Coturnix japonica: one gene and its partners. The protein of the gene in region 1 interacts with the protein of each later gene in a pairwise test. Links are inferred from orthologs where the notes say so. Each region holds a gene or a part of one and is shown in the gene's direction. Other genes may lie near its edges. The genes, in order: GCC1, ZNF276, ABI2, ATF4 and CEP70.

Region 1 (6,499 bases):
GGGTTGGGATTGAGGGGACATTAATAGGATCATGGAATGGGTTGGGATTGAGGGGACATTAATAGGATCATGAGATCATTTGGGGCGGAAGGGACCTTCATTAGGATCATGGAATGGGTTTGGGATTGAGGGGGACCTCCATAGGATCATGGAAATTGGTTTGAGTTGGAGAAGACCCTAATAGGACCATGGAATGGGTTGGGATTGAGAGAACCTTCATAGGATCACAGAATCATTTGGGTTGGAAAGGACCTTCACAGGATCATGGGTTGGGTTGGAAGGGGACGTTTGTAGGATCACAGAATGGGTTGGGTTGGAAGAGACCTTTAAGGTCAATGAAAAGCACCATCTACAGCCAGATCAGCTGCTCAGAGCCCTGCCATCCCACATCCAACCCTAACAGAGTGGGCCTGTAAATAGGGGGCAGCCCAAGAGCCCCACATCCAACCCTAATAGAGTGGGCCTGTAAATAGGGAGCAGCCCAGGAGCCCCACATCCAACCCCCATTATGTCCCCCCACATCTCCATCCCCCTTAGGGGCACCAGCACCCAGCCACATCCCAGCACAGTAATGCTCTACCCAATGCATCGCTGCCATCCCAATGCTGGTGACCAATGGCTGTGGGTGCCCATGGAGAGGGGCCCTACTGACCAATGGTGGGGATGGTGGTGACGATCTCCCCCAGCTTCAGCTTGTACAGGATGGTGGTTTTGCCAGCAGCGTCCAGCCCCACTTTTTAGGATGAGGGGGGTGTCCCTTTGGGGTGGGGGGTGTCCCTATAGGATGGGGGTGTCCCTTTAGGGTATAGGGGTGTCTCCCTTGGGATGGGGGCGTCCCTTTAAGGGGTGGGGGGTGTCCCTTTAGGACCTCACCAGCACCGCTCCATGAACTGTCCCCATTCCTGTCCCCATTCATCTTCGAGCTCATCTTCATCTTCATCCCATCCTCATCTTTACCCACATCTTCATCCCATCTTCATCGTCGTCTTCAACACCGTTCTCACCTCATTTTCATCCCTCATTCTCATCTTCATCCCACCTTCATTCTCATCCCCAACCCGTTTTCAACCACATCCTCATCCCATCTACCTCCTCATCCTCATCTACTCAACCCCATCCCATCTTCATCTTCATTCTCGTCATTCAATTCTCACTCTCATTCCCACCTCCAACCCCACCTCCATCTCATCCCCATCCTTATCCCATCTTCCTCTTTATCTTCACCCCCATTCCATCCTCATCTTCATTTTCATTCTTATTATCATTCCATCTTCATTCTCATCCCTATCCCACCTTCATCCCCATCCCATCCTCATCCCATCCCTATCCCAATCCTCACCCATCACATCCTCATCCCATCCTCCCCTTCATCCTTACCTTCCTCCCATCTCCATCCTTACCCCATCTCCATCCCACTCCTCATCCATCTTCCTCTTTCTCTTTATCTCCACCCCATTCCATCTTCATTTTTCATCCTATTATGCATCCCATCCTCATCTTCATCCCCATCCCACCTTCATCTCCATCCCATCCATCCTCATCCCTCCCCATCCCATCTTTCATCCTCACCCACATCCTCATCCCATCCTCCCCTTCATCCTTATCTTCATCTACATCCCATCCTCATCCCCACCCCCATCCCAACCCCATTTCCATTGCACACTCATCCTCACGCTGATCTCCATCCCATCCTCATCCCCATCCTATATTCATTCACACCCCCATCCCACCTACATCTCCATCCCCATCCCCATCTCCACCTCATCCTCATCTTCATCCCATTCCCATCCCATCTTCATCTTCATTCTTATTATCATCCCACCTTCATTCTCATTCCCATCTCATCTTCATCCCCATCCCATCTTCATCCTCACCCACATCCTCATCCCATCCTCCCCATCATCCTTATCTTCATTCCCATCCCCATCCTCATCCCATCTTCCTCTTCATCTTCATTCTTATTCCATTCCATCTCATTCCTCATCCCCATTCCCATCTCATCTCATTCTTATTATCATCCCATCCTCATCCCCATCCCATCTTCATCTTCATCCTCACCCACATCCTCATCCCATCCTCCCCTTAATCCTTATCTTCATCCCCATCCCATCCCATCCTCATCCTCATCCCTATCCCACCTTCATTCCCATCCTCATCCCATCCCTATCCCATCTTCATCATCCTCACCCATCACATCCTCATCCCATCCTCCCCTTTTCATGCCCTTCATCCTTACCTTCCTCCCATCTCCATCCTTACCCCATCTCCATCCCCATCCTCATCCCATCTTCCTCTTCATCTTTATCTCCACCCCCATCCCATCTTCATCTTCATCCTTATTATCATCCCATCCTCATCTTCATCCCCATCCCACCTTCATCTCCATCCCATCCCATCCTCATCATCATCCCTATCCCATCCTCATCCCATCTTCATCCTCATCCCATCCTCCCCTTAATCTTTATCTTCATCTCCATCCCATCCCATCTTCATTTTCATCCTCACCCATCCCATCCTCATCCCATCCTCCCCTTCATCCTCATCTTCATCCCATCCCCATCCTTACCCCATCTTCATCCCATCTTCCTCTTCCTCTTCATTCTTATCATTCCATCTTCATCCTCATCCCCATCCCATCCTCATCCTCATCCCTACCCCATTCTCATCTTCATCCCTATCCCCATCCTCATCCCATCCTCATCCCATCTTCATCCTCACCCCCATCCTCATCCCATCCTCCCCTCCATCCCATCCCCATCCCATCCCCCCCCTCACCCCATCCTCATCCTCATTCATACAACGATGCCCCGCCCCCTCATTAAGCCCCGCCCCCAGACTACAAGGCCACGCCCCCAATCCTATTAGCCCCGCCCCCTCTGCTCCGTTCTGACACCTGATTGGTGGCCGCTCCTCGCCCCAAACCCTTCACTTTGCGCATGCGCAGCGTGGGGTGCGTCACCTCCAGTGGGCGGGGCTTAACGTGCAGGGCGGAAGTGGGTGGGAGGGCGGAAGTTAAACAAGGCGGAAGTAGGTGGGAGGGCGGAAGTAGTAGGGGCGGAAGTTAAACGAGGCGGAAGTAGGTGGGAGGGCGGAAGTTAAGCAGGCCGGAAGTAGGTGTGCGGCGGCGCTCTGGCTGCCGGTACCGACTCGTTGGTTGGGCCTGGAGGCCGCGGCCTGCTGTGGCCCGGCCCGGTCCGGAGGTAAGGCCTGAGCCCTGCGACCTACCCGCCCCCAGGCCCACCCCCATCCCGGAACCATGGAGAAATTCGGTATGAACTTCGGAGGAGGCCCGAGTAAAAAAGAACTGCTGGAAACCATCGAGTCGCAGAAGAAGCAGCTCCTGAATTACCAGGCCAGGCTGAAGGACGTGGTCATCGCCTACAAGAGCCTCATCAACGAGAAGGAGGCCTTGGAGGCCAGCCTGAAGGTGTTATCGGCGTCCCACGAGGCCGACATTGGGTTAAATGGGGCTCAGGCTCCATTTGTGGCCCCCTCCAGCTCTTCCTTTGCCTCCAGCTCTTCCCTTCCCTCCAACTCTTCTTTCCCCTCCAGCTCTTCCCTCCCCTCCGGCTCTTCCCCTCCTTCCAGCTCTCCCCATGTTGATCCCATGGATGATAAGAGCTCAGTTCACAGCGAGGACAGCATGGGAACGGCCGCCAGCGTGGACACAACAACCAGTTTGGGCAGCACGAAGGGCGAGCAGGGACCTGAGGATGAGAAACACGCAGCAGCTGTTAAATCAGATGAGGGGAATGGTTCCGAGGTCGGTACTGGTACCAGTAACAGCAATGGGGACGTGCCCTGTGCTGCCATTGAGGCCGATAAGCGGGTGCTGCAGCTGAAGAGCCAATTGGCCACATTGACCAGCGCCCTGTCCACGGTGACGCAGGAGAAGTCCCGCATGGAAGCGTCATATCAAGCCGACAAGAAGAAGATGAAGCAGGACCTGGATGACGCCATTAAAAAGGCGGAGGATGAGACTGACAGGTTGGAGACGGAGCTGAGGGTTGTACAGGAGCAGCTGGCAGAGACCAAAGCTCGACTGATCACGCAGCAGCACGACCGAGCCCAGGAGCAGAGCGACCACGCTGTTATGCTGAGGGAGCTGCAGAAGCTGCTGCAGAGCGAGAGGGCGTTGAGGCAGGACGCTGAGCTGAAGCTGGAGGAGACCAGGGAGGCATTGGCCGGCCGGGTGTGCATGGCTGATCGTGCTGAGGGCTACGAGCTGCAGATCAAGCAGCTGAGCCAGGAGGTGGAGGAGCTGAAGAGAGAACTGCAGGCTGTTCAGGAGGAGAGGAAGAAGCCGGACCCCCGGGTGCAAGACCTGCAGGAGGAGATGGCCAACCTGAAGAGCCACTTCCAAGCGCAGCTGCTGCAGGAGATGAGGAAGGTAATTCCCTGCTTGAGCCCTAGAGCAGCCCAATGTAGGGGGTACCAGAGCAGCAGATGGAGGCTTGAGGAGCCCAAATTCTCCCTGTGCCACATGCCACAAAGTCCGAAAGATTTCAGATAGGAGAAAATACCATAGTTTCATCTGATGGGATCATATACCCTGAGGAAAATTAAAGCTGTTGGCAATGCAGTGTATAAATCAGTTAACCACGGGTGGTTTAGGAGCAGTCTTTGTGGGAGTTACGTGGTGAGCATCGCTTGGTTCCGAGCAGCAGCTGGATTTGGGAGGAGAGCAGTGGCAATGAGCGTGCTCTCATCATAAATGCAATGCAAGGTTCGGTTCGGACTCTCTTAAAGGGAACTGACCTCCACATCCCCCTGCATGGAACTGTAATAGGTGAGCGGTGAGGCAGGTGGGCGATAAGGGCGGCCTGCTGAGCGAGGTGCTGGGCTGTGCATCTTGCTGTGTGTCTCTGCAGGCTGTGGGGCAGAGGGATGGAGGGCTTTGCTGCTGAGTTGGCAGCTGGAAGGACACCAGCATGGGATCCTCATTTCCCCACAGTCTGGAATAAGTTTTCAGCTTTCTAATCTGAAGCCTCTAATTATCAGCTTCGGGCTGATGGGATGCGATTAACCTTGTTTTGGAAGTGATACCCAGCAGCTTCTGTACGACAGGGCTGAGGATGGGCTGATCCCAGCTGTGTTTTGGCTCACAGTGGGGACTGAGGAGTGGTGCCACCTTCCACGTGCTCTTTAGGAGGTCAGATCTCGATGGTGATAGAAGCTGTGAGCTCCAGTGTTTGCTGTAGCTACTCAGAGCCCACTGAATTACGTTAATATTGGTGTAACAAAGCTTAGCATTTAGGTACAGTTAGGTGTAGGAAAGCTTTAGGGCACACTCAGACATGAAAAAATCCCACAGTGAGGTGAGCTTTGTGCTTCATGCCCTGCACATGCCTCCAGCAATGCACATTAATGCTGCTAACAGCAGGGAACAAATACAGAAACGCACTCGGTTTGTTTCATCCTTGAGTCTCTGTTTTAAAGATGGGCGTGTGAGAGTGTGGGGTGGGGGAGGATTGTTTGGAAACTAGGGAAAGGGTGTCCCTGTGCTTGCTTGGAGTTGTTCAGAGCAGAATGAAGGCCTGTGTAATTGCAGGGTGGTCTAACACCGCTGCATTTCTTTGCTTACAGACTGCACAAGCAGAGGAGCAGCTCCGGCAGCACGCCCAGATGGAGGAGCAGCGCGTGGCCGACCTGGAGGGGCAGGTCTCTGAGGTGTCAGGGCTGCTGGGCACCTACGAGAAGGCCAAACAGAAGGACCAAATGGTCATCCAGAAACTGAAGGATCGCATCGTGCAGCTGGACCAGGAGAACAAAACCTTGGCCATCGCAGCCTCCAGCCGATCCCCTGCTGATGTGAACGTGGAAGAAGCCAATCTGGATGTGAACGTTCTCAAGGATAAGATGGAGAAGCTGAAGAAGCTGCTGCAGGTGGCAGCAAAGAAGAGTCAGCCCACGCTGGACATCGAGAAGCTGTGTGAGCTGGAGCTGCCAAAAGGTACCGAGGCCGGGGATGGTGAGAAGGCCACGGCTCTGTACTATCAGCAGGAGCTGAAGCAGCTGAAGGAAGAGTTTGAAAGGTACAAGATGAGGGCACAAGTGGTTCTCAAGAACAAGTCAGCCAAAGATGGCAACCTGGCCAAAGAACTGGAGGAAGCTCAGGAGCAACTGGCGGACCTGAAGGAGAAATACGTGGTGCTTCAGCTGTCCTCCGAGGAGGTGGAGAAGCAGCACCAGCTGGACATGGAAGCCAAGAGGCAAGAGTTCTGCCAGCTGCAGCAGCTGCACAGGCAGGAGCTGGAGCGCTGTCAGCTGGAATACAGGGAACGGGCACTAAAGCTGGAGGAGGAGATGCACAAACAGCGGGACCGGGCGCTGGCGGTGCTGGCTGAGAAGGACCAAGAACTGGAGCAGCTGAGATCCGTCATGTTGCCTTACACCGGGCTGCAGGGCTCCAAGAACTACATGACAGCAGGGACTGACACTGCGAGCCATGACCCCTCGGCTAATGGCTCCACAGAGATCCTGCCCCAGGCTCTCCACC
Region 2 (6,150 bases), on another chromosome or scaffold:
CCCCTGTCAGCCCCACAGTACCTGAGGAGGCAGGAGAAGAGCCCCGTCACCAGGGACAGGTCTGACGGGCTCCTCTTCAGCCTGGCTTTCCACTGCCGCGGCCAGTCCTGGGGGAGTGCTCACAGCAGGTTAGTGGGAATAGCCCCTCTCCCTGATTCCCAGCACAGCCCTCTGCATTCACAGCATCCACAGCAGCAGCCTCCAGCGCATACTCACGTGGTCCTGTTCATACTCGAGGATGGCAGCATAGAGCTCTCTCTGTTCCTGCTCCTCAGGGGTTAGGGCCACACTGCTGGAGAACCTCCTGCGAGTGCCACAGTGCCAGGTGAGGGGTCTGCAGGGAGCTCCGCACCCTCACGGTCCCCACTGGGACCCCCCAGCCCCGCCCTCACCTGTTGGCCGCCTCCTGCAGCCGCAGCCGCCGCTCCTCCATTTTCCTCTGCAGCTGGGCCATGGCAGAGTTAAGGCACTGGAAGTGCCGCAGCAGTGAGCCAGCATCTCACCCGGCACAGCCCTGAGGTGGCTGATGAAGTAACAGCCACAAACACAAGTCCCCTGCTTTAGGCACTCCCTTAGTGGAAAGGATACGGTCTCCTCTCGTGCCCTGGCTATCACCAGGTTCTCCATCATCTGCCGCTGTAGAGACAGCGTCTGCCAAGCAATGAACACTACGTGGGTGACACCTGCTCAGAGTCCCAGTGCGAGACTCATTGTACCCAGCTCCCCACTCACCAGTGAGGTTTTCTGCAGGGCCTGGCTGGGGTTGAGCCGTGCCACCCGCGCCTCGTAGGCAGCCTTCAGCTTCTGGTTCTGCAGCGATGCCTCCTCCAGTGGCGTCAGCTCCCTGCAGGGAATGAGCTGAACACTGTGGTGGCCTTCAATGTGAGCCAGGCATCCTGGCCAGCTGGGACCCTTCCAGGCTGAAGAAGAGCTCTGCGATCCACAAACTCACCCCACAACATCCATAACCACCTCTATCTATAAGCCGTGTCCCTAAGCTCCGCACCTACCTGCTGCTTGGGAGAAGAGCCCAACCCTGCCCTGCTTTTCTCCATTGAGTGGAGCACTGTGGTCCCCCTGCCCCTCCTTTCCCCCCTCCCCATAGGATTTGTGCTGTGGTCCATTTGCACTCGCTGTCCCCCAGCCCCACTCACTTGCGCACACTCTGTGCCTCAGCGATCTGCAGCTTCTGGAAGATCTCTGGTGGCAGGAACGGTGACAGCTTCCCTCCCTCGTCAGAGAAAACCCTGCGGTGCCTGGAGATGGGCGCGGGTCCCCCCGCTGTGCTCGGTTTGCCCTTGTTTTTCCCTGTGCGGGATGACACGGCTCCATCAGCCCATTGAAGGCTCCGGTCCCGCTGGTGCTGCCGTTACTCACCCAGCGTGGCCGCCAAGGACTTGACCCTCTCCAGACACTGCTCCGCCAGCTTCAGCATCTTGGGGGTGTCGGGGCCGAGCCCTTCGCTGTGCTCTGCGATATGGGGGGTCACTGCCCTGCGAGGGGCGGGGGGAGGGACCGGGGGGGGGGGTTGTTACCTGTGAGCCCCGCCTCGTCCTGCAGGGCCTGCGAGATGAGGGCGATGCTGTGCAGGTATTGAATATAGGCGTCCTGCGGTGACATCAATGGGGATGATGCGGGGATGGACACGAGACCTGGGTTATGCGGTAGGATAACGGCCCCCCGCCCCGTGCCGTGCTGCTCACCCGCGTCCTCCCCGCGCTGTCCATCTCCAAGGCCCCGCTCGCCGCCCTCATGGCGCCCTGCAGGGCCCGGCCCGGCCCGGCTCCATCCCCAGCACCGCCCGCCGCCGCCATCACGGCCGGAACGGAGAGAGCAGCGACACGGAGTTCCCGGGGGGAACTTAAAAAGCGAAGGGATGAAACCGGAAGTGCGGCCGGAGAGTGTTTCCGGAGGGACTTCAAAACGGAAGGCACGAACCGGAAGTGCAGCGGCGGGTCTTCCGGCCCACAAGAGGGCGCCGTTCGGGCGGGGCGCGGCGGGACCGGGCGGCCGCGATGAAGCGCGATCGGCGCGGGCGGTTCCTGGCGGCAACGGGCGGCACCGGGGCGGCATCACCCGATGGACGGGGGCGGCCAAGGGACAAAGGGGATGAGGAGGAGCGGGAGACCGGGACCGGACCGACCGCGGGGTGGGAACCGGTGGCGGCGGAGGAGTCCGGATGGGCACGGCCCGGCGGGGCGGCGGACGGAGGTGAGAGACGGGACGGGACGGGACGGGCTGCGGGGCAGCGAGAGACCGGGGGGAACCGGGGGGAACCGGGGGGAACGGCGACATGAGCGGCACCGACACGGGGTAACGAGCTGCGGGACGCGGCCTGTGTGTGTGTGTGTGTGTGTGAGTGCGGTCAGTGACGGCTGTAACGGGGCGCTGTTGGAGGCGCTGCGGGCCGTCACGGCGCTGTGAGCAGCCGGGAGTCCCGGTACAGCCAGCACCGGGCAGTGCACGGACACAGCCCGCAGAGCCGAGCTGCCGGTCGGTCTGTGCTATGGGGCAGCGGCTGCTCCATCCCCGGTGTGCAGCTCATCATTGGTGCCGTGTGCGGCTGTGGGAGCGTCACGGTGATGGCAGCACGGGGCTGCGCTGCGGCTGCTGCATGTTCGTACCATAAACAGTGGAGGGGGAATAGGAGCATTTGAGCTGGAGCAGCGTTGGTGGGAGCTGGATGTGTGAGAGCCTTGAGAACAACGGAGCCAGGTCTGGAGCAGCAGCACAGGGCGGGGATGCCATACGGGGATGGTTTGTGGGGTCCCAGCGCTGCTCGGAGTCACGCAGGTCTCGCTCCCGGTCAGTGCTGGTGCTGAAGCCGGGGCTGTGACGGCAGCGTGGGCTCGGATGACAGGACGGGGATGTCGCCTCGCAGTGTCCCATCGCCCTCGGGCTGCAGCTGCTGCGTGCTCCTGCAGCCGCATCCCGTCCTTCTCTCGCAGGGGTCGGCAGAGCGCTGAGCACCGGGTACTGCCGCCTCTGCCACGGCAAGTTCTCATCCAGGAGCCTGCGCAACGCCTTCGGGAAGGTCCCTGTGATGGGGGAGAACTCGGAGAAGCAGCGCCGCGTGGATCAGGTTTTCTTCACGGATTTCCAGCGGCTCGTGGGGGTCGCGGTGCGTCAGGACCCAGCGCTGCCGCAGTTTGTCTGCAAGAAATGCCACGCTCAGTTCTACAAGTGCCGCAGCGTCCTCAGGACCTTCATTCAGAGGGTGAACGCGTCCCCCACCGGCCACGTCAAGTCGAAAGGAAAGTAGGTTGCATCTCTGTGCTCCTGGTGGTCGCTGGGAGGAATGAATGGCCGCGTGTTCAGTATGGTCCCTCTAATGCTACCTGTGCTGTTCTGGCTTTTGCAGGAGCGGTGCGGCCCCGGCCCAGCCTGGTGTGGAAGGAGGTGCCTCCTGTCTGGGTGAGTAGCTGCTCACGGAGCAGCAGGGAAGGGTTGGTTGTCAGGGGTGCTGAGGGCGGTTCTGGCATATGGGGGATGCAAAGAGCAGCCTGTAGGCTGCCTCCCTCACCTGCTGCCGTGTGCCTCAGTGTGGGTGTGCAGAAGGGACGGGTCTGCAGGCTCTGACCCTGTGCCTGCTGCTTCTCCCCTTCCAACAGTCGACCTGATCACCTCCAGCCCGCAGTGCCTGCACAGCCTGGTGACGTGGGCACACGCACACGCCGGGGGCTGCCAGTCGGTGCCGAGCCTGCAGAGCGTGCTGTCCTCTGAGTACTGCGGGATCATCCGTGCGGTCTGGGGCTGCGGGGACGGGCACGACTACGTCATGGACACGGATTCTGACTGTAGCACAGTGCTCGTTGATAATGCCTTGGCTGTCAAACGGGAGTGGAACAAGAGCATGGCGCAGCGCTTGACGGACAACGGGGCGGACAATGCTGAGGCTGTTCCTGCTCCCAAACCCCAGCATGCTCCAGTAAGGACAACTCCTTGTCAGCAGCCCGCAAACAAAGGGACCGCAGCAGTGCCACTGAAGTTGGAGAATGAGCCATCGCAGAACAGGGATTCATCTCATTCTCAGCAGGACAGCACAGCCTCGTTACAGGAGAAAGCCTTGCCCCAGCCCGTGTCACCACTGAGCGGTGCCACAGGTAAGGGATTTCCCTTCTGATCGCACCCCAGGCCTCTGGGTAAGACAGAGATCTGCCCAGGGAGCGCTGCTGGGCCTGGCTGCCCCTCCTTGGGGACTAATAGGGCATTTGACCTGTGGCTCAGAAGTGCTGGTTGCCCAGAGGATCAGCTCTAGTCTTGCAGAGGGAAGGGGGATGTGAAGCTTTGGCTGGCCCAGCTGTCGTGCAGCCAAGCTGGTCTCCTTGCCTCTGCACATTGTTTTCCCTTCTGATGATGGGGTGAGATGTGGCTGTTCAGCTGGCTGTGTCTATCTGGCCCTGCTCGCACCTGGGACACGCACCATTCAGGCTGTACAGAGCGGTCCCATTCTGTCTGTTTGCCAGGTGGTTATTTGGGATCAATCCAAACCCTGGCTATGTGTCAGTCTGGGGGGGGTTTCCCACCCCGCTGTGACTGCAGGGCAATGTGAGCAGCATGAGGCCCAGGAGCCGTTTCTGTCTGCACAGGCAGCCTTGCTCTTGGGCTGCCTTAATACAGGTTTGCTGCTGCGTTCTTCTGTCTTTTAAAATATGGGGCTTAACACTGATTTTGAGTTTCAGAAGCTGGGATCTGTTTAGCTCCGGCAGTCACATGACGATATGTCTGCTGCTGGAAAGAGAACAGGTAGTCGGAACTGACTGGGGAAGGCGTCTGTTGGTTGCAGAGCAGTAGTGACCTTTTCGTTGCTTTTCCTAGTAACGTTCCTTGTTCTCCTTCGTTCCCTAGGACAGTTGAGTGGGAAGCAGGTTCTGTCTACAACGTCGGATGAGCGGGTAAAAGACGAGTTCAGTGACCTTTCTGAGGGGTGAGAGAAGAGTGGGTTTAAAATAGCCTTAATGTCTTCTTTGCGAGTATGAAATGACCGCGGAGAGCTTCTCCATGGTCCTCAGAAGGCCCTGGGAGGTGGCACTGAGGGGCAGGGTGGTTTCTCTGCAGCCACGGTCGTAGCACTCGGCTCCCTCCCACGTGCTGCACACACAGCGTGCGCTGTCTGTTGGTTGCTTCCAGCACAGCTGGCTGTGTTGTGCACTGCCCCATGCTCTGGGATAGCAGCAGCCGTGGCAGGGCGGTGTGGGGCTGTGTGGTTCTGCACACTGGCAGAGCTGCTGCTCCGGGCTGTGTGCTGGTAGAGCTGCTGCTGGTTCCCCTCTGCAGCTGTGAGCATTCAGTGTGGGCTCGCAGGCAGGAGCTGCTGCTCTGAAATCACCCTTTTTGTGCACAGGGAGGAGAGTACAGGAAGCCCGAGTGGGATGCAGGCTGCTTAGAGATTGTTCTGAGCTAAGATTTGGCTGAGCCCTCCAGATCTAGTGAGGTGTGTAAACAGCTGCCGGTTGAGTGGAGGTACGGAGGGGCCAAGTGCAAACTTACTGTGGTGTGTCAGCTAAATCTGTCAGCTGTCGTGTCGAAAGCACCACAGGAACCCGCTGCCCCTTTCCTGGCTTCAGAATTAATTGCGTCTTGTGTAGCTTGGGATTTAAAAACAAACAGAAAGATGTGGCTCCTCCCTATGAGGAAATACTGGATGACCTGTAGCTTAATTCACCTGTGCCAGACATTCTTGCTCTACAAAATGACTTTTATTAGCATAGGAAGTAGTTTACAACATCAGACCCTCTCAGAAGCAGCCATTTTTGTTCTCCTGGCAGCAGTTCAGTGATTCTTACAGAGATCTGGTCCTAAGAGGAACCAGTTCTGCTCTTTGCTGTGTTTGGGGGCTGTATTTGCTTTGGGAGATTGTGGGGGAGGAGAACACGTGGAGCCTGGGTTGCCATGCTGTTCTATGGGGAAGATGAATGCTGGAAATAAAGAACATGTTGCTGCTGCTGCTGAAGTGTCGGCCAAGTCCTGCGTTGGTAAAGGGCATCTTCTCTCTTTCTCAGAGACTTCTTGAGCGATGATGAAATCGAGAAGAGAAACATTCAATCTTCAGACGACTCCTTCGAGCCTTACCCGGAGAAAAAGTGAGGGGCTTTCCCTGCTGTGCAGCACAGCGTGGTCAGCTGTGAGGCTGACAGGAGGGTTGGAACC
Region 3 (6,188 bases), on another chromosome or scaffold:
GTGGAGCATTAACTCTGTAATCAGCCCTTTAGGGTCTGTCTTCTCAGTAGTTATGTCACATGGACCTGGGAGATGCCACTGGGGGTCAGGATGGAAAGGGACTGAAAATTGGGTTGGTATCTTTGAGAAGGAAAACTGGCAGAAAAGAAAAACAAATTGGCACATTTTTTAACTTCCCCCTCCTTCTCTGAATGCTTTGTTCTTTGAACCTCGGAAGGGAACCTGATGATCAGCTGTGCTTTGTGCTGGTTTGTCTTTGAGACCATTTGTTGCCTGTGTTCTTTTAAAGCTGAAATGTTAGGAAGAGATCATTATTTTTCCTCTTTAACTTGACCTCTCCCTCCCTTAGAGAGATTCTCCGCATGTACTGGCTCCATCCTTCTCACACAATGCTATGCTGAAATAACGTTCAAGAGAGAACTTGAATTCCTAGAAAAAAAAGGCTTGATATTTAGAATGAGACACGGCCGAGAACAGAAAGACGGAATGTCTGCAGTGTGTCCTGTGCCTCTCCGGAGGTGCTGTGAGGTGATGGATGTCAGTCATGCACTGCCTCTGCCTGTTTCTGAACTAGTGGTGTTAGTGCAAGCACTTCCATGAGATGTGAACTACCCCACAGGTAACTTGTGTCCTGTGTACAGTCGGTATTTTACCCAGCAGCAGTTTATCATGAGCAGAAAGATTATCTGTGGTTACGATCTTGATTGCCCAGCAAATTGGTGAATGCCTGCGGAAGCAGGAGGAGAATGTGCAGCTGCAGAGTGTGTGGGTTCTTCACTGTTTCACAGCAGGGGCTGGCGGCTGAGTGCCCAAGATGCCACAGGATCCTGACAGCGTTTGTTGTGGGCACTGGATGTGTATGAGCCTCATTCTGTAGCAGGCCATCCTGAGATTGTGGCAGAGCCTCGAGTGTTAAATGTGCTGCTGTTCCCTTTGGGTGCTTTGCATTATGAGGCTAGCAAAGGTCTGCATCCAGCCAGAGGCAGATCAACGCTATCTAAACAGACCAGGATGGCACAACTCTGTCTTTGTTGAGGGAGCAAAAGTATATATTTCAGCTACAGATAATTTTTTTTCATTCCCCCATTTTTTCCTCTTTCCCCATTCCTGCAGTAAATGCTACCTGCCAGCTTTAGGGCATGGGCCTGTTTGTATTATGGTCAGTTCACATGCCCATGTTTGCTGTCAAAGTGCTTTGCCCATTGTGCAGACGCAGATCTGCTTGGCTCAATGTGATACAGTGGGGGTTTTGTTTCTGCTGTATACAAAACATGGAATTTGGGTTGTTTTTTGTTTTTTGTTTTTTTTGTGAGGGAAAAAATGTTCAGAAATGAGAATGTCATAAAGCCAGAACAGAGATCCTTACACAAATTAAGTGAAAACCTGCAGCATGGTGTGTCAGAGATCCAACCAGGTCATCTGTCCAAATGGGATCAGGGATTGTGCCGTTCTGTCTTCCATATAGCAAAGAAAACAGAAGAGGCTTTTGATTGCAATGCCTACCCATGGTGCCAAAAACAGTGGCCTCCAAGCTACCCCGTTATTACTTTTCTCTAATTAAGAATTGGTAATTCAGACTGTGGTATGTAGGACACACAGAGTGCCCAGCTACGAGATTGCACGTGACCAAATGATTTGCTTGTCTGGGCGTTTTTGTGCGCAGGGACTCCCTTGGGTAATGGGCAGAGGTAAAAATCTGATGCGTGTGAGGGAACTTGGAGTAAGCGACATGCTTACCTTGCTTGTTCCTAGGGATATTGTTTTCTCAGTATATTTAGGTGGGAAATACATTTGCTTCCCAGTCTTGAAGCTGTTGTACCAAGGGAAGGTACTGCACAAAAGAAAGAAGGAGAAGTTAATGTGTGGAATGCTGTAACTGGGGCTCAGAGAGCATAAGGACTTAAAATTAGTTTAGCACATCGCTTGGCAGATGGGGAGTCGATTATGTAAATGTAGGAAAGTGGTAGTTGGATTCACTTGGTCTAATTTAAACACTGCTTCTAATCATTTTCAGCACGCGTACAGAGAATTATAGGATAACCATCACTCTGCCAGGAGGGCTCTTCATCTTTAAATTTAAATCCATGAAAGAGTCCCCTATTAAAACATAAACATGCTGTGATAACAAGCAGCTAATGATGCAGGCAGGTTAGTCCAGCTGGTCAGCTGCGCACACACATAGTAAAGACGAGGCCTTTTCTCATATGCTCCAAGTCACTGGAAGGGGCCACTGCAGGGTCAGGGGGTCGCTCCGGCTCCTGCTCCAGCTCCGGCTCCATTCATGTCCCGCAGCCCCGTCCCAGCTCCTCCGTGCCGGCAGTGGGCGCACGGGGCCATGATTAGGGCTGCTGGGACATGCGCAGGAGGAGCCGCCGGCCGCGCCCCGCCCCCGGTGCGGTGGGGGTCCGGCGCGCTCCTGCCCGCGGCGCGAGGCCGGGCCTGGCGGCGGGGAGCGGAGAGAGGGAGCGGAGCGGAGGGAGGACGGGAGGGAGGTGCAGGAGGGAGGACGGGCAGACGAGCGGACGGTCGTGGGGTGAGAGGATGTGAAGATGGCGGAGCTGCAGATGCTGCTGGAGGAGGAGATCCCCGGGGGGCGCCGGGCCCTGTTCGACAGCTACACGAACCTGGAGCGGGTGGCCGAGTACTGCGAGACCAACTACATCCAGGTGCGGCGGGGCGGGGCCCGACGGCCGAGCATAGCGGTCGGCCCTGGCGGTCGCCGTCCGCGTGGCGCGGTGCTGAGCGGCGGCAGCGGCGCTTCCTCCCCCGCTCCGCGTTGCGCCGGGCCCGGGCCGCATCGTGCTCCTCGGTGAGGCGGAACAAAAACAGGACGGCAGCATCAGTAACGGCCGCGGGTCGTTCCGCCGTGGTGTCGGTGCTGAGTGCAGTGAGAGGGCTCCCGGAGCTTGTGCCTTCCGTCCCCGAGAGCGCTTGTGTGATGGCAGGGGGAGCGGGCCGTGCCCGGGTGGGCGACACGAGGGGGAAGCATTGGGGGTGCGCTGTGTGGGATGCTGAGCGACCAGCCGACCTCTAGTGGGAAATGTCTGCGGATCTGGGGTCATTTACCGAACAGCGATGCGATTAATAAGGTTTCATACGCTGAATTAGCGTGACTTATGTTCTTTAAGAGAAACGCGCTGAAGTATTTTGTTGTAGTCATAAACTGACATTAATGTTTGTGCTGTTTTAAAAAGAAGGAAATGGGGCTTTTTCTGGAAGAGGAGCTGTGAATGGCAGAACCGGATAGGAAGAGGTGCATTTAGCTTGTTGTTTTGCTCTCCCCACGACCTTTTACTGTTCTCTTCTTGTAAACCAAGGATTATAAAATCTGTATTGAACAGCTCCACTTTTATTGTTTCAGTAAAAATTGCAGAGCAAGATTCTGTGATATTTCATGCAGAGAATGGAAAGAGGGGGGTCTTCCCATAGCTGGCATATAAAGGCAGCCTGAGCCGAGGGCAGCCAGCTGGTGAGGGAAAGCAGGGAGTGAGGCTGGGTTGGTCAGCCCACCGGGTTCTGGCCGCTGTGCAGCACACCGCAGTTGTTGGCAATTTGTCCAAGCATCGCGGCAACACAGGGATGTAAGAGGGAGGTGAGAACAGAAGGCAGAAATTGTGTTGTGGTGCTGACTGTGAGGTGCAGTATGGGATCACTGACTGGAAAAATAAAGATGTGAAACAAGTGGGGAGCGGAGGACCATAGCTAGGTGATGATGGTAGGCTTAGGCTATTGGGGTTGGCAGAGAGACTGCAAGGTGACGTTGCAGAGGAGTCCAACTTGAGGAGATGCTGGATTGAGTGACGTGAGTGTCCTTGTAACAAATCTGATGGAGAACTCACCCTACGTTCTCCGTGCCAGAACTGCATAAACTCTTCATTGGGATAAATACCCAAAGCTATTTTGTTTGTCTTCCTTCTGCAAGGAAGGGAAATGGATACAACTAACATCACTGGGGATTTTGTTTCCAATAATAGTAATTCCAAAAATCAATATACCCAATTCAGTCTAAATTACATATTTTATGCAAGCTTGGATTTGGTGGAGATGTGCACGTTGGGAATGCGTGTGAGAATCATCTTCCAGAAAGTCAGAAAATCTTCCAGAAGATCGACTAGTTCTACTGTAATCTTTTAATGTTCCGTTGCTGACAGAAGGGTTTATCATGGATATTCTTGAGGTCTCCTGACAGGGACTCAGTGTATGACTGAGATCTGAGTTTGATCTACTGAATGATAGGCAGCACAGCAATCAGTGCTTGCAGGAATGACACTGGCATGTATTTGTCAGTAGACAAGCTCAATTGGTGCTGAGAGGTTATTTTATTGTCAGGTACATAAATTGTTGCAAAAAGCAGAGGCGTTGGTCAGTTTTTTAAAGAATTTGAAGTTCAGTGCTATAAGATGAATGTGTTCTATCTCTGCCTCCATTGACAGTTACATAGCAGCTGGAGAATAATGGAACAGTAATCTCTTACATGTTGGGACTGACAGGTCAGAGTCAGAGAGCTGTGGTGTTTGCAACTCATTTGGATTCTACTTATGAAGTGAAAAGCATTCCTTGAATGTTGGTGGTTCATTATACAAATTGTTCTTGATACTTGCAGAGCTCAGTTACTTCAGCAACAGAGAATGTTAAATGAATTGTTAAGGTTCTCTGAAGTCTGTATTATAGCAGCATATCAGAGCACATCAGCTTAAAATTTTGTGACAAGTCACTGGGAAATATTGGAAATATGTAGTAAAATAGAACTGCAGCAATGAAAGATGAAAAGCTACTGCTTGGATATTGCAAGAAGAAACATGTAAAGAACGATTTTCACCTGCATAGTACGACAGTTCAGCTCCTTCTCTGTGATTATTTCACTTTATATAAGAATATTAGTATGTATTTTTGGAAAGTTTTAAGTGTAAGTGCACAAGTAAGACAGTTTGATCAGCTTCTGTTACTGCCAATATCAAATAACTTTGCTTTCCAGGTAGCTCTTCTCAGTACCGTAGAAAACATAGTTACTTCTCTGTTGTACTTCCCGAAGAGGGGGCTAATACAGGCTGTTATTTAGGAGGAGATTTTTGTGGGATTTGATACAATGTTAATCAGAAGTTAAATTGTATACTGTTTCTGCAGGCCTTTGTGTACTAGTGCTGCATTCTGATACCAAGTTCTCAGTCTAAACTGCAACAAAGTAGTTCTATAAAATCTGATTGCTTCATTTACTTGTTACTGTATAAAAACATATTTAGGTCTGCATTGATCTCCATGAAAAGCAAGAGTTACTTAATTGGACAGTGCGCTGTATTTACTAGATTTTCATATTCCAGCATTATTTTTGATCAGGAATGTGATAAAGAAAGTTTCTGGTTATGATGATATAAATGACGAACACCCTTTTGAGCACTGGTGTGACTTGCTTGTTTTATTACTGGTACACCACTGTAAGTTCCAGCGCTGCATTGGCCTTTTCACTTTCTTTAAGCTTGTTCTGAACAAGTCTGTCTGGGGCTCATCTCTAACTTGCTTCCAAACAATTGGAACTTTTAAAAACGAAATCATTTTTTTACTTAATGCATTGCATATAGAACTTTCAAGAGTAATTGAATGCTTGTGTCTGAACTCACTGTTTTGAAAGAGTCAGAAAGAATTCCTAGATAGACATTTTCAGCCACTGGATATCTAGCAGGACCAGACTCAGGGTGGGGGCAAGGCCAGAGAGCAATGCAGCATGCAGAGCTGGGTGAAAAGCCACGGCCCTGTGCCCTGTCCAGCCTCCAGAAGGTGAGTGTGCTGTGTTTGCCAGATTCTTCAAGCAGGATCTGGATTTCTTAGTCTTTCTAGACTATTATGCTTTGTTGTGTGGAGAGGAAGAGCGAACTTCCCATTTCCATCACTTTGCAGCCTTCAGGTTGCTATGGGTATTGAGTCTCATACATAGAAATAAGCTTCCCATATTTCTAAGGGAAAGGCAGGGAAGAATATATATATTTTTTCCTTTTCTGAAAGTATTCCATCCTTCTAGGTACTAGAAGTACCTGCTTTCAGACCCTGCAATAGCTTTTTTTAAATAAACATAATGGTGAGAATTACCTGTTTCTCAGTAATTTTATTATAGCCCATGGGTTGATCAGTTTCTTAGTTGCTTTCCGCATGCCTGTTAATTTTACTTTGTCCTGTTAAGCCAAACCAAGTCATTG
Region 4 (6,248 bases), about 46 Mb from region 1:
GATGGATCCAACTTATCACAGGAGCCTATGGCAGGAAAATAACATCAGCAGAGCTAAAACTGTTAACGTGTCATCAGGAGTTTATTGACCATGAACGCACATTAATCTTCATTCAGAAGCCATCTTTTTGTGCTGCAAATTCAGTTTCCTTCAGAGCTATCAGGCTTCTCTCCACACATCTAAGCCACAAACATATTCTGCAGCACTGAAAAGGGAACATTTGAGTTAGCTAGTACCTATTAGCCCTTCGCTTAGAAAACATTTGCTATTTTATTTGCACAAAAAATTCCTAAGGAATGGTTACTTAAGCTTGAAGAATTATTATCCAGCTCAGTCACAAAACTCACTCCTCAAAGGAGAAAACTGTGATGTAATACCTGCAAAAGCAGAGACGTATTTTGTAATGGATTGAGACATGTCTCATTAAATTGTGTAACAATAATTCTGCAGTCTCTTTCAGGAAACAGGGAGAAATAACACTGTTACTAAATGTCTGGCTTTTTGTTACCTCATTTCACTTCCTGAATTGAAGATGATGAAAAAAAACCAAAACAAAACCCAAAACTGTTTGGTGCTCAAAATGTAGACAAATGTGCACATTTGCAAAATAAAAAGGGAAGCAGGCAGCTAGGAAACAGGCAGATCTGGGTTAAGTTCCTCATGACATGCATCATTTTTGCTTGCATAATTCTTACTCACACATACCCAGAGTCCTTTCTTCAAAAATATGTAATTACCATTTCAAGAGAAGCATTTCTGTTTATTTTGCTACAGTTACAGTGGTACAAACACCTTTTTTCTTTGCAGTTGGATGTGGGGGATGTGAGAGCCCTCCCTCGACCAGCCAAGACACAGAGATGCTGCCTCTCATCCACCCAAGCCAATCACCCACCAGGCTTCTTCAGTAGCTGCTGCATCCATCCTCTGAATTTTGCTTTGAAGCAAGATCTGCCTGCTCATTGGTGCACGTATCAGAGGAGTCATCTGAGATCACTCAGTTGCTATCGTGTTTTCTGATATTGGAGGGCATTTTTCTCTGCTGCCTCTTCCATCTTAGTGAGCCATTAAAAATCGATGCTTGATTCTAGAAAAGCAAAAATAAAACAAACACATTCACACACCCACAGAGAAACAAAAAAGCCACAAAACACCACAGCACATTGGAAAAGCTGTATTTTTACTTTCAGCAGCCAATGTTCAGTTTACAGAGCTGGAATGACATACATACCCCAATTTGTTGCAGTGATGGTGACATCCTGCTGCTAAAAGTAGAAACCTGGCCATGACTGTCCTCCCTGGCCATGCCCATCCTCTGGGATTATCAGTGGAGCTGTTTAATGAGTTCCAGGCAGGTATACTTGTGCAAACTGAGCCAAGGCCATGGCTGTACACAAATACTAACAAGCCCTAAATGGAAAACAAGGGAGCCTTTTGCAGTGGAGCCAAGAGGAGTTTATTGACAGGGTGATAATGTTTTGAGCAAGCAAGGATCCATGGAGGGGGGTTGGAGCTTGATGATCCTTCCAACCTAAGTCATTCTATAATTAATCTTCAGAGCTGATGGTGTGTTGTAGGGCTGGTAATGTGGGAAAGCAACCAAAGGCCAGGTAGTGAAAGAAAACATGGGTAGCAACCTTCCCAGCTCACCTTCCTCACTCAGAGCTGCATATGGTGCTTTAGTGTCCTCAGAGAATCACGAGGGGACTGAAAACATCTGTTCCCCATGGGTTTCATACAGGGCTAGGTGAGGACCAGAGGAGCTGCTATAAACATACAGGGCCAGACGTGATGGAGCAGGGCTGCCTTCTCATTTGGCTGATTTAGTTCAGATAAAACATAATGCAAACCTGCTTGAAAACCTTCCCAAGGTGAGGCTGTTTACTAGGGCCGTGAGGCTGTGTAGATGACCCACTAATGCTCTCCTCCATTGAGTAATGGCTGCTCTTGCATCTCCTCACAAACCACCCCAGGCCAATGTTACAGCTCAGCTACAAAGCTAGCAGGGTGTCAGGGACACAAACACACAGCCCTATCTCTGTGGGGCAAGTAGCAGGCAGGGAGTTTTCCACTTATCTGAGGGAGCAGTGACTCTCCTCAGCAAAGTTCTGCCCTCAACTCTGCTGGACGTCGTCTGGAGGGGCTGTTAAGAACGCACAGGGAGAGCGGACAGGACTTCGTGTGGAGGGCATAAAGAGCTGTCAGTAACAAAGGAGGCGTGGTGCTTCAAAGAGAACACGCCACGGAAATGTGAAGCAGAGAATAGAACCAGCGCCACCGCCATTTTACGGCTCCTCGTTCTCCGTGCCTCTCACCATCTCTCCCTTTTCGGGCGTCAGCCAATGGCGGCTCAGCGCTCACACGGTTACCACGCCACCAGCCAATCGGCGCGCAGAGCTCACTGGCTGTGTTGGCGGGCAGGAGCAGCAGCCCCCCCACATCCCCCTGCGCTCCGCGGCGGGCGGGAGGAGTGTCCTCAGCTGCTGTATCACGTGGCCTCCCATCTCGGCTGGGCGGTGTTTGCGCGGAGGAACACCATATAGTCCCTCTGTCTAGGAGCCCACGATGGAGGGAAAAGTTATTGCTGACAGCTTTTTTGGTTAATCTTTAGCAGGATGGAACGAGAGCGGCCCAGAAAGTTGAAGGTCTACAGGCTGAAGGGTGCTGACGAGAGGCGGGTGACGAAGAGCGGAAGGACACATCAGGCCGGATCTCGTTTTGATTAGCGTGAAGGTATATAAAAGCGGAGCGCGCGCGCTGCCACCTCATTGTGTGCCCTTGGCTGAGCTGACAGGTTGTAACTGTGACCGTGCGTAGCACCTCTCCGCGCGGCGCTGACCGGAGCACCAACCAACCCCCCCCCCAGCCGCCATGGCTCTCTAAGGGCGGCAGGGCCAGCGGCGGCATCGGCCAGTGCAGCGGGCGCAGCAGCAGCGGCGGCGGCCTCGGCACATCCCCGGCATCTGCAACCATGGCGTGAGTAGCGCGTGTGGGGAGTGCGCCTTGTGTGACAGCCACCCCCTGCTTCATAAAGCGGGGTTCTGGGGTGCGAAACGGACGCCCCATAGGAAAAGCTGTCTGGTTAATAGGGTGGGGGCTGGAAACCTACTTGAGGGTGACGGAAATGGCAGGAAATGACACTTTTAAGAGGAAAAATGAGCCATAATACCCTGTATTTTAGAGAAGCCCACATCCTGAAAGCTCAGGGCTGTTCTATTTTGTAAGGCTTTTGTGAGAATATTAGCTCCCTAGACGGTTGTCTTAGTAGTATAGGGGATTGTCTTTATAGAGGCGTTCCCACAGCGGATGGAGGAGTTAAACGGGGCTTCCAACGAGCGGGCATTAAGATAATCCCTTAATGCTACGGCGCTGCTGGCCGGGGGAGGAGGAGGGTTGTGGGGGGAGGGGGGGGGAATGGTGTCGAACCCAGCCTGATAGAAGGGTGTAAGGCTGTCGTGGTATTTATCATCCGAATCCACCTGGTCCATAAGTCAGCCTAGCACCAAAAGGTGCTCTGTCGTTCTATCGTCCTGTCACCTTCCCCTCCCCCCCACCCCTCCACGTTGATGGCGTTCCCATCGACACGGGGTGAAAACGTGTCACGGCACAAAATGGCGGCGGGGCCGGGTGGGGAGCGGTAGGCGGCAGATCGCGAAATGGCTGCGGCGTGGGCGTGACGTGAGTCAGGGCGCGGTGGGCGGGGCCTCGGCGGGGCGTGGGGCTGGCAATGCCGTGCTGGGCAATGGAGATGCGAATAGAAAAGCTTTTATGAAAGCAAACAAATAAAAAGCAAGAGTTTGAGGCAAACAGCCCTGAAAATGCTGCAGTCGTACAAGTCTGGTGCAACAGCACTCTCCCTGAGGCTGCGTTTTGTTGTGAAGGCTGTTTTTCCAGTAGAACAAGCACTGATGCATGCGAAAAATGTTTGTCTTACAGGTTTTTCAAGGCACCGCACAGCAGCACTGCTGTAGTCAACAAAAAGGCCCTCTCCTTGTCTACATCCTTTGACGTCAAAGCGCTAAAACCTGACCAAGATGAGCCTCTTGAACAACGAGATGCTGTTGGGGGAGTCCTCCCCCCTCAGCCAGCCGTGTTTGGTGGCTGAGGAAGGTCTGGGACTCCTCGATGACTACCTGGAGGTGGCCGAGCCCCTCGGTTCGCATGGGTTCTCCAGCGACAAGGCTAAGGCAGTCTCCTCCAATTGGCTCACTGTGGACAGTTTAGGCAACACCATAGATAGCAGCCAGGGTAAGGCACTAATTCATGTGCAGGAAGTAACACCAAAGGTGATGGCACATAATAAATAATGTAATCCTCCTGTTCAAAGATAAATTGCACGAGTTCTCTAAATGGAAAGGTAACATCACGTATGTGTCTTCTGGCCTGGGAAGCATCCATACAACACTGATTATACACAATAGCAAATGGCTCTGTAGTCGACCAGCCTGTGGAAAAATGACACTTGCATTGCCCTTTTAATAACATGCCAACTATTAAGAGTAGCCTTCCCTGGAAGAGGTCACAAGAAACAAGTGTGGTGGTGTGTTTCAAATAGGCCTGAATTCTTAGAGAGCTAAGACTAAGAGGGATGGAATGTCAGCAGCTGACAGATACATAGTATCATGCAGACTTCCCCAGTTCATAGTAGGGGGAAGGGGTCTGGTAGTCGATCTTTTTACCATTAAAAAGAATGGGGGAAGATATAACTATTTCTGGTATAACTGGTATAGAATCTCTGTGTTGGCTCATCGAAAAATATACTGTTTTTCTCCTTGTTTAGAGGATGCCTTCTCTGGCATGGAGTGGATGGTGGAGAAGATGGATCTGAAGGAATTTGATTTTGATGCCCTGTTAGGTATGGAACATCTGGAAGCCACCGTCTCACCAGACGACCTGATGGCCACGTTGGAAGACACGTGTGATCTCCTGTTTAACCCTACCACCCAGGAATTTCACAACAAAGAACCTCCACTCATACCTGATCTAATCACCAATCTCCCCGAATCTCCAATTGGAGTAGATCCCATGGCCCCATTAGGCTCCCTGTGGCCTTTTCCCCTCTCCCCAGGGTCTCTGACTTCTGTTCCAGACCATTCATTTAGTTTAGAACTAGGTAGTGAAGTGGATGTTCTGGAAGGTGAAAGGAAACAGGAGGCCCCCACCTTTCTGGTAGTGATCACGAAGTCAGAGAAAGAGGAGGAGAACCATTCTGATGATAGTGGAATATGCATGAGCCCAGACTCTTATTTGGGAACGCCCCAGCACAGTCCTACCAATTCACTTGGATCCCCTAATGACAACCAGTTCCCTGCAGATGCCACCCGTGGCTCTCTGCGTTCTAAACCATATGACCACCCTGCTGAGAAGGTAGTGTCAGCAAAGGTGAAAGGAGAAAAGAAAATAGATAAGAAATTGAAAAAGATGGAGCAAAATAAGACTGCTGCCACACGTTACCGGCAAAAGAAGAGGGCAGAACAGGAGGCTCTGTCAGGGGAGTGCAGAGATTTGGAACAGAAAAATCAGGCCCTGAAAGAGAAAGCAGATTCCCTGAGTAAGGAAATCCAGTACTTGAAAGATCTGATTGAAGAGGTGAGGAAGGCCAAAGTCAAAAGAGCTAGAGTCCCTGAGTAGGGTAGTCAGTAGTGTTTGTGTGCATGTATATATGCTTGCTGCTTAAGCTGTGTGGTGTCTAATAAATTATTTTATAGTAAACTTGCAATTTTGTGTGGTAACTGAGTATCTGTAAAATAAGGGTTTATACCATGTCGTTTGGGGCTTCAACCAGCTGGAATGTGCTGCTCCACCCAAGTGTGCAAATAGCATTTACTGTTAATGTGGTTCAAGTGATACAGTACATGTTACAGCTCATGTGTAGCTGAGAATACTTGCAGATATCTAGTAAAATGGAGGGGATCAAGTGGAGATAGTCCCAGATCTTGAATAGCAAAAGCAAAATCATAAAGGTTCAGCCTTACAAGGAGCCATGTAAGTATGTTTATAAATATGGTTTGGAGAAGTCTCTTGTGGGAGTTACTGGGTTTTGACAAGCTGATGGCTTCAAGCAGTTCCCCAGGGTGTTAATTCCTTCTCTCTTGCACTGACTTGTCCAATCATACTGCACAAGCATCCACATGGAGCTGGTGTGTCTGCAGCCTTTCAGGGGCAGCCAACAAGCTGATCTTATGCTGGTGCCCCTTGCAATGATGCTGTTTCCATACTTAGTAACTTAGTTAAGACTTTGCACTGGCTGG
Region 5 (5,583 bases), on another chromosome or scaffold:
GTAAGCTATCCTGTTCCAATAGATTGGTAACTATATCTTAAGTTCAAAATACCATTTTTCCTTTTTCAGGTTTCTTTGTCTAATCGATTATTATGAATCTCAAATTAATCAAATGAAAAAGGAGCTACGGTGAGTCTCATCTAATGCCTTGTGGTCCTACTGCTAAAAGTTTTCTTTCTCCTTGTTGTTCTTAAAGCTTGGAATGGCAAATGTTCTATTTTCTAGATGTCACTAAAACATAAGAAACAGCCAAACACTGTAATAGTCTTGGAAGTTTGGATTAATCCTGGAAATTTCTCTCAGTCTGAGCAGCTGCGCAGTCAGGCCATACAGCCAGGAGGGCATTGTATTTAGACACATGAGCTATAATCCTTTGTTTGTTTTTCGGCTTTCCCTTTTGTAGAGGTTTACAGGCAGCACTACTGCATTAGCTATGCACAATTCACCCGTTTCCTAAAAAGAAAGAAGGAAAAATAAAAAAGAAATACCAGCTTCTCAGCTCCATCATATTGCTTACATGATACAGAGAAACAAGCAGATACCTGAGAGACATTCCCATAATTTGAGATTATTATCTAGAAAGCTGAAATTGGATTTGCTTGCACTGTAATTTCTCTTGAGGAATAAATGTACTCAATTAGTATATGAAACAGCTTTGCAGAACAATAGAGAAGACCAGTGACAGTATTTCTATTGTGATCGTAGTTTAGTGTATGGAAATTTTGACATGTGTACCTGCAAACTTAGATCTTTGTGCCAATTGAATTGCAATAAGCTGAAACAATTTATTTTCCCTAACAGGCAATATAAAAAAGCTGAAGATCATATACAGAAAGAAGTAAAAAGCAAAGAAAACTTCTTAAATCTGGATGCTACTCCAAATTACAGAGCGCTGCTCACGGTATGGAACTGCTAAGAATAAGCCCATGCGGATCACTGAATGGTAACCCGTGAAGAGCCACACAAAAATGCATGTGTTTGGTTTCTTGTCTGCTTGTTTCTGTCTTCAAAGTTCGTAAACTCTCTGGGCAGCATTCACTGTCTTCATCTTATTATGCAAAGATTGAGTACTTTGCTGTAAAGTTCTCTGCTTCTCCACCTGTGGGCTATACAGCAGGATCTTGATCTTAAAGAGGTCTGTTTCCTCACTTATGCTGTCTTATAATATAAAGCAAATGGGAATCTTTCTTAGCACCTGACATGCTTGAAAGTGTTCAAGCTTGTTGATTACAGAATGAATGAAATTAATAATACAGTGTTTGTTGCAGTCTTTTCAGAATCAGCTTGTTGAAACAAAGGCCAAGAATGAACAACTTTTGCTTGAAAATACAAATCTCAAGAAAGATTTGGAAACAAGGTGAGAAACGTTTTTAAAAGCACATCTCTAGGCTTTGCTTCACAGAGAAGGAAACTGAAAGTGCAGCAACTGTAGAAGCCTAGTGTCAAATCTGCCTTTAAAATCCATTCATAAAATAATTAGCATTTTAATAGGGCAACAACAATCAACCTTTCCTTCCTACACTGCTAATAACAACAGCTCTTAGTGTACGCTGTATTGTCTTGGACAACTGCATTGATATTTACACTTCATTGAGCTAGGGCAGGAACAGTGAATGTGGGCAAAATGGTTCTTTCCACTTTGGTAGCATTACTGCCAAGCCTGACTTCCACTTAAAACCTGCTGGACAGATAGAGAAGCAGGTGGTTTTAGTAAGAAAGCCTGAGCCAGCAAAATTGGTTTGGGTGCTATACTATATCTATTTTACAGTTATTGCCACATGTAATTTGTTGTAGAATTTCATTTCCAGTATGAAGTTATGGCACTAGTAAAGCTTTCTTACTTTTTCACCTGGCTGAATTTTATAGCCGACTTTCAATGCAAGATAGATAATGTGGTATGTTTTCTTTCCAACAGACCAACTGAACAGGAATTAAAACTTTACAAGCACCGAGTGAAGAAACTAGAGAAAACTTTAAAGAAAACTATCCAGTAACTATTTTTCTTCAGTAACTTTCACGAATCCTCTGAACTACATAAAGGCAAAGATGCTCTGCAACCAATCACATAGATAGCAGCTTACAAAGCACGTACCTTATATCACCACAGTCCCTTGGAGCCTGGGTCATGGGCAGCAAATGCTTCTGCATCTCCAAAGATACCCTGTGAATCTCTGAAGTGGTGGCACAGTGTCCAAATTGGTGCACACCACTGTCTCTTTGTAGTTCCATTTTGCCTTTTGGGATTGGAGTGTTACCACAGGCAGTATAGGCAGGACCGATACTTAAACAGAAGTCTAGTAATGACAAAGCGTCAGCCTGGAATTTCACTTAATTATCTGTGTACACGTGTACTGAATACTATATATTTTTATCATTTTACATTATCTGAAAAAGACACTGCTTTAAAAATGTTCAGTTCTCCATTTTACATTCTATTTCAATGATCTTTTCACTCATGCAGTGGGTATGATTCAGTAGTTTCAGGCTGAAAGCCATCCTACCGTACATATTTGGCCTACTGGTGACCTACTGTATGTATTTGGCATGTAGGTCTTCAGGGAGCAGTACCAGAGAAGGAACAGAAGAAAAGAAAGAACCTGAGAGTACTGCAGAAGATCGGCTGCATGCAGTCTGCCAGCAGTACTTACAGGTATGCCAACTTCATTGGTACCATGCCTATCTAGCACTTTCATAACAAAATACGAGCCTTATTTAATTGCATAAACTGAAGCATGCTCTTTTGAACTCTGGAGGAAAGCCCTGAACACAACGTGTAATGTTCTGGCTATGGCAGTTGATATAGGCTACCTTAATGTAAACTACATGAAGTTACTACAAACCAGAGACTAGCTTGGCAAACCTCCAATCAATGATTTAGCCTGAGTTCTCATCAGGATAGAGAACAAAGATCAATGTCCTGTGGAAGGCATTCCTTTCTGTTATGGTTTTAAGAATTACTGAGAAGATGATAGCTTTTCATTTTTCCTTAAGAAAGAACAAATATAGTAAAGCTTAACAAAATATAAACTGTGTAAGTAACAACATTGTGAGAAGATAAACAAAATATTCCCTCCATGGGAAGTCTACGTGCATTACTTTTACTTTTCTTCTACTTAGTTTCTTTTTATATCTTTGAATCTATGACATGCTGAGTGCCTCTATAAAAGTCATAGATGGTAACTTACCAGAAATAGTTATGATTTAAATGATTGTGACTGGTGGTGAGGGAATTTATAATAAAAAGCTTAGTTTGAGTAATAACTTTTTCTATCTATTATTGAAGGTGCTGTCCAATATCGACTCTATTATACGAAGTCCAAGAGCTCCTCCATTAATATACAGGCGCAGCAAAGGGCCAGTGCAAAATTATATTAAAGAGAATGGACAGGAATGTGGATTTGAGCACCTCCCACTCACTATAGAAATGTGGGCAGACCAGCTGGTGGCCCTAAAGGTAACGCACTCTCACACTTAGCTTTGTATCCCTCTTTTAATCTGTTGAAAACCTCACGGTGCTTCTTTATCCAGTGTTCTTGTGCTTTAGTTTGTATTGTTGTCTGACCTGGTGTTAAATGGACAAGATATTTAAGCAGTTACTACAATGAGCTGTCCCCCCTCTGTTTTAAAAGGATTTGCACAGGTCACTGAGAAAACTGTCTCTGGAATTGGTACCCTGGCACACTGCGGATCCACAAGATAACACAGAATCCATACGGGTTCAAGACCTTCAGTTCATAGTAGATGCAGTTTTAGAAGAAATAGAAAACAAGGAAAAGGTAATTCTTCACACGATTAGACTTCTGCATTTCAAAGCCTTTTGGGGCTTAAGAAATAGCTGTGGGAAGAGGTCCAATTCTCCAAGATTACTTTCACATAATGGATAAATTCACCCCGGGGAAGACTGCTTTAATCAAGGTCATTTGACCAACCATGAATTTGCCTTACCCTGTAGTGCTGGGTATTATCCTGTTCCATCTTTTTCTCAGTCAGCATTCAGAATACCTAAACAGACTTAATAAACATCAGAAAACAAAGCTTCCAAAAGAATATTGTTTTCATAAGAGTATTTTTGGCTTGCTGGATATCTCTCTTGAGATTTAAGAATATTCAAAATGCCTCAATTTAATAAGGGAAGTTACACCTGTTTTAATTTGTGGACTAGTTTTAAGAACATCTCGTGGTTAAAAGAAGCAACAACTTAGTAAAGTTACCCTTTCTGCTTCCTGCAGAACAGCCAGACACCATCCTTACCAACACTGTATGCAATAGTCTCTCACTTCCAGAAGCTGTTTGATGTGAATTCTCTGAATGGCATTTACCCACGAATGAATGAGGTGTACACAAAACTTGGGGAACTGACCAATGCTATGAGAAATCTCCATGAGCTCCTGGAACTAGGTAAAGACTCATCACCTACCACTTGTTCAGGCTATTTCCAAAGGAAAAGCTTTGTTTTATGAGCACTTACTTACTAATTCTCCTTTATCAATTGAAACATAAGGTTTTTTGTTTGTTTTAAATTGTTTTGGAATAACAAACTTTGCTCTAGATTTCTTCTCAGTAACTCATTCCAGGGTAAGCATGTTCAGTCCTTAAGAACACCCCTTTACAATCCTAAATGTTTACTTGTTCTTTTAAGTATTGAATGTCAAGAACTAAGTGCCACCAGTAGTCACTTCCAGGTGCCTATTCATTCTCTTCTGGTTTTGCACTTCTGAAGAACAGCAGCTGCTAATCTTCCCTGAGTTCATGGGTTTAGAGGCTTGGCTGTGCTGCAGGGTGTACAGCCAGAGGGCAAGGCTCCTAAACTACTGAAGCCTTCTGAAGTCTCATTCAAAGAGGGAAGCAGACTTCCTGCCTGCCACCACCAACAGGAAATGAAGAAGCTTCTCATCCCCTTGTAATTACAAAGCAATGGAGTTCAGTGGACACCTTCTCACAATTAGTTCATCTGAAACTGAGTGAGGAAAGGAAAAGAACCTGGTATTTTTACCTTTCATCATAGTAGCCAAAGCAGGTTAAAACAAGCAAACAGAGCAAGTTCTTGCTACTAACAAAATATCAGGAAACAGTTCCCTCTATGATACATGAAAGTTCAATAGAATCTGGGCACCTGCAAGAACTGAATTATGTCTTCTTTTCCTGTTATTACTCTTACCAGAAACATGAAGTTGTGTTTTCCAGATAGTTCAGCTCCACCCACCATGGTGGTGGATACAGTTGGGAAACTGTGTGACATAATTAACGAGAATGTGACTGAACAACTACGGCGGCTCCTGGGGACACAAGACATCCACAGGTATTTAGTTCTGTTCCACTGGCAACAGTTCTGCAAACAGAAATCTTATGAACTGACAGAGTTGCCTAAAATTGATACTGGAGGAGACTTCTGTCCTTTGCTACAGTGCTGTGACAGTAAAGGATTTACTACTATCCTACATGGAACAAGTCTTGAACACTTTCTAAAGGGTATTTCTGGTAAATAGAAAAAAATAAGGTTCCCTTAGCACTACCTTGTTGATTTGCATGGATACAGTGATCAAAAAAGCCTCTTAAGCTTATGTTTCATAAGGAGACATAGCA

The links.
Region 2: the proteins of GCC1 (region 1) and ZNF276 interact in binary tests that used the Homo sapiens proteins (3 or more experiments, as listed by UniProt). The two-hybrid records come from large-scale screens. The link is inferred for Coturnix japonica from reciprocal best matches to the Homo sapiens genes GCC1 and ZNF276.
Region 3: the proteins of GCC1 (region 1) and ABI2 interact in binary tests that used the Homo sapiens proteins (3 or more experiments, as listed by UniProt). The link is inferred for Coturnix japonica from reciprocal best matches to the Homo sapiens genes GCC1 and ABI2.
Region 4: the proteins of GCC1 (region 1) and ATF4 interact in binary tests that used the Homo sapiens proteins (3 or more experiments, as listed by UniProt). The two-hybrid records come from large-scale screens. The link is inferred for Coturnix japonica from reciprocal best matches to the Homo sapiens genes GCC1 and ATF4.
Region 5: the proteins of GCC1 (region 1) and CEP70 interact in binary tests that used the Homo sapiens proteins (3 or more experiments, as listed by UniProt). The two-hybrid records come from large-scale screens. The link is inferred for Coturnix japonica from reciprocal best matches to the Homo sapiens genes GCC1 and CEP70.

Annotation. Positions count from the first base shown.
Region 1 is NC_029516.1:515,172-521,670, forward strand, and holds the start of GCC1 (GRIP and coiled-coil domain-containing protein 1), read left to right. Parts: upstream 1-3,063; 5' UTR 3,064-3,256; coding exon 3,257-4,390; intron 4,391-5,586; coding exon 5,587-6,499. UniProt on the Homo sapiens protein: Probably involved in maintaining Golgi structure.
Region 2 is NC_029526.1:16,728,769-16,734,918, forward strand, and holds the start of ZNF276 (zinc finger protein 276), read left to right. Parts: upstream 1-1,901; 5' UTR 1,902-2,015; coding exon 2,016-2,211; intron 2,212-2,948; coding exon 2,949-3,258; intron 3,259-3,361; coding exon 3,362-3,414; intron 3,415-3,611; coding exon 3,612-4,103; intron 4,104-4,848; coding exon 4,849-4,927; intron 4,928-6,002; coding exon 6,003-6,083; intron 6,084-6,150. UniProt on the Homo sapiens protein: May be involved in transcriptional regulation.
Region 3 is NC_029522.1:11,989,139-11,995,326, reverse strand, and holds the start of ABI2 (abl interactor 2), read left to right. Parts: upstream 1-2,517; 5' UTR 2,518-2,549; coding exon 2,550-2,666; intron 2,667-6,188. UniProt on the Homo sapiens protein: Regulator of actin cytoskeleton dynamics underlying cell motility and adhesion. Functions as a component of the WAVE complex, which activates actin nucleating machinery Arp2/3 to drive lamellipodia formation.
Region 4 is NC_029516.1:46,170,641-46,176,888, reverse strand, and holds ATF4 (cyclic AMP-dependent transcription factor ATF-4), read left to right. Parts: upstream 1-2,769; 5' UTR 2,770-2,973; intron 2,974-3,933; 5' UTR 3,934-4,031; coding exon 4,032-4,245; intron 4,246-4,777; coding exon 4,778-5,628; 3' UTR 5,629-5,716; downstream 5,717-6,248. UniProt on the Homo sapiens protein: Transcription factor that binds the cAMP response element (CRE) (consensus: 5'-GTGACGT[AC][AG]-3') and displays two biological functions, as regulator of metabolic and redox processes under normal cellular conditions, and as master transcription factor during integrated stress response (ISR).
Region 5 is NC_029522.1:18,781,205-18,786,787, reverse strand, and holds part of CEP70 (centrosomal protein of 70 kDa), read left to right. Parts: intron 1-69; coding exon 70-129; intron 130-801; coding exon 802-901; intron 902-1,268; coding exon 1,269-1,357; intron 1,358-1,915; coding exon 1,916-1,990; intron 1,991-2,550; coding exon 2,551-2,650; intron 2,651-3,283; coding exon 3,284-3,454; intron 3,455-3,629; coding exon 3,630-3,776; intron 3,777-4,229; coding exon 4,230-4,398; intron 4,399-5,184; coding exon 5,185-5,299; intron 5,300-5,583.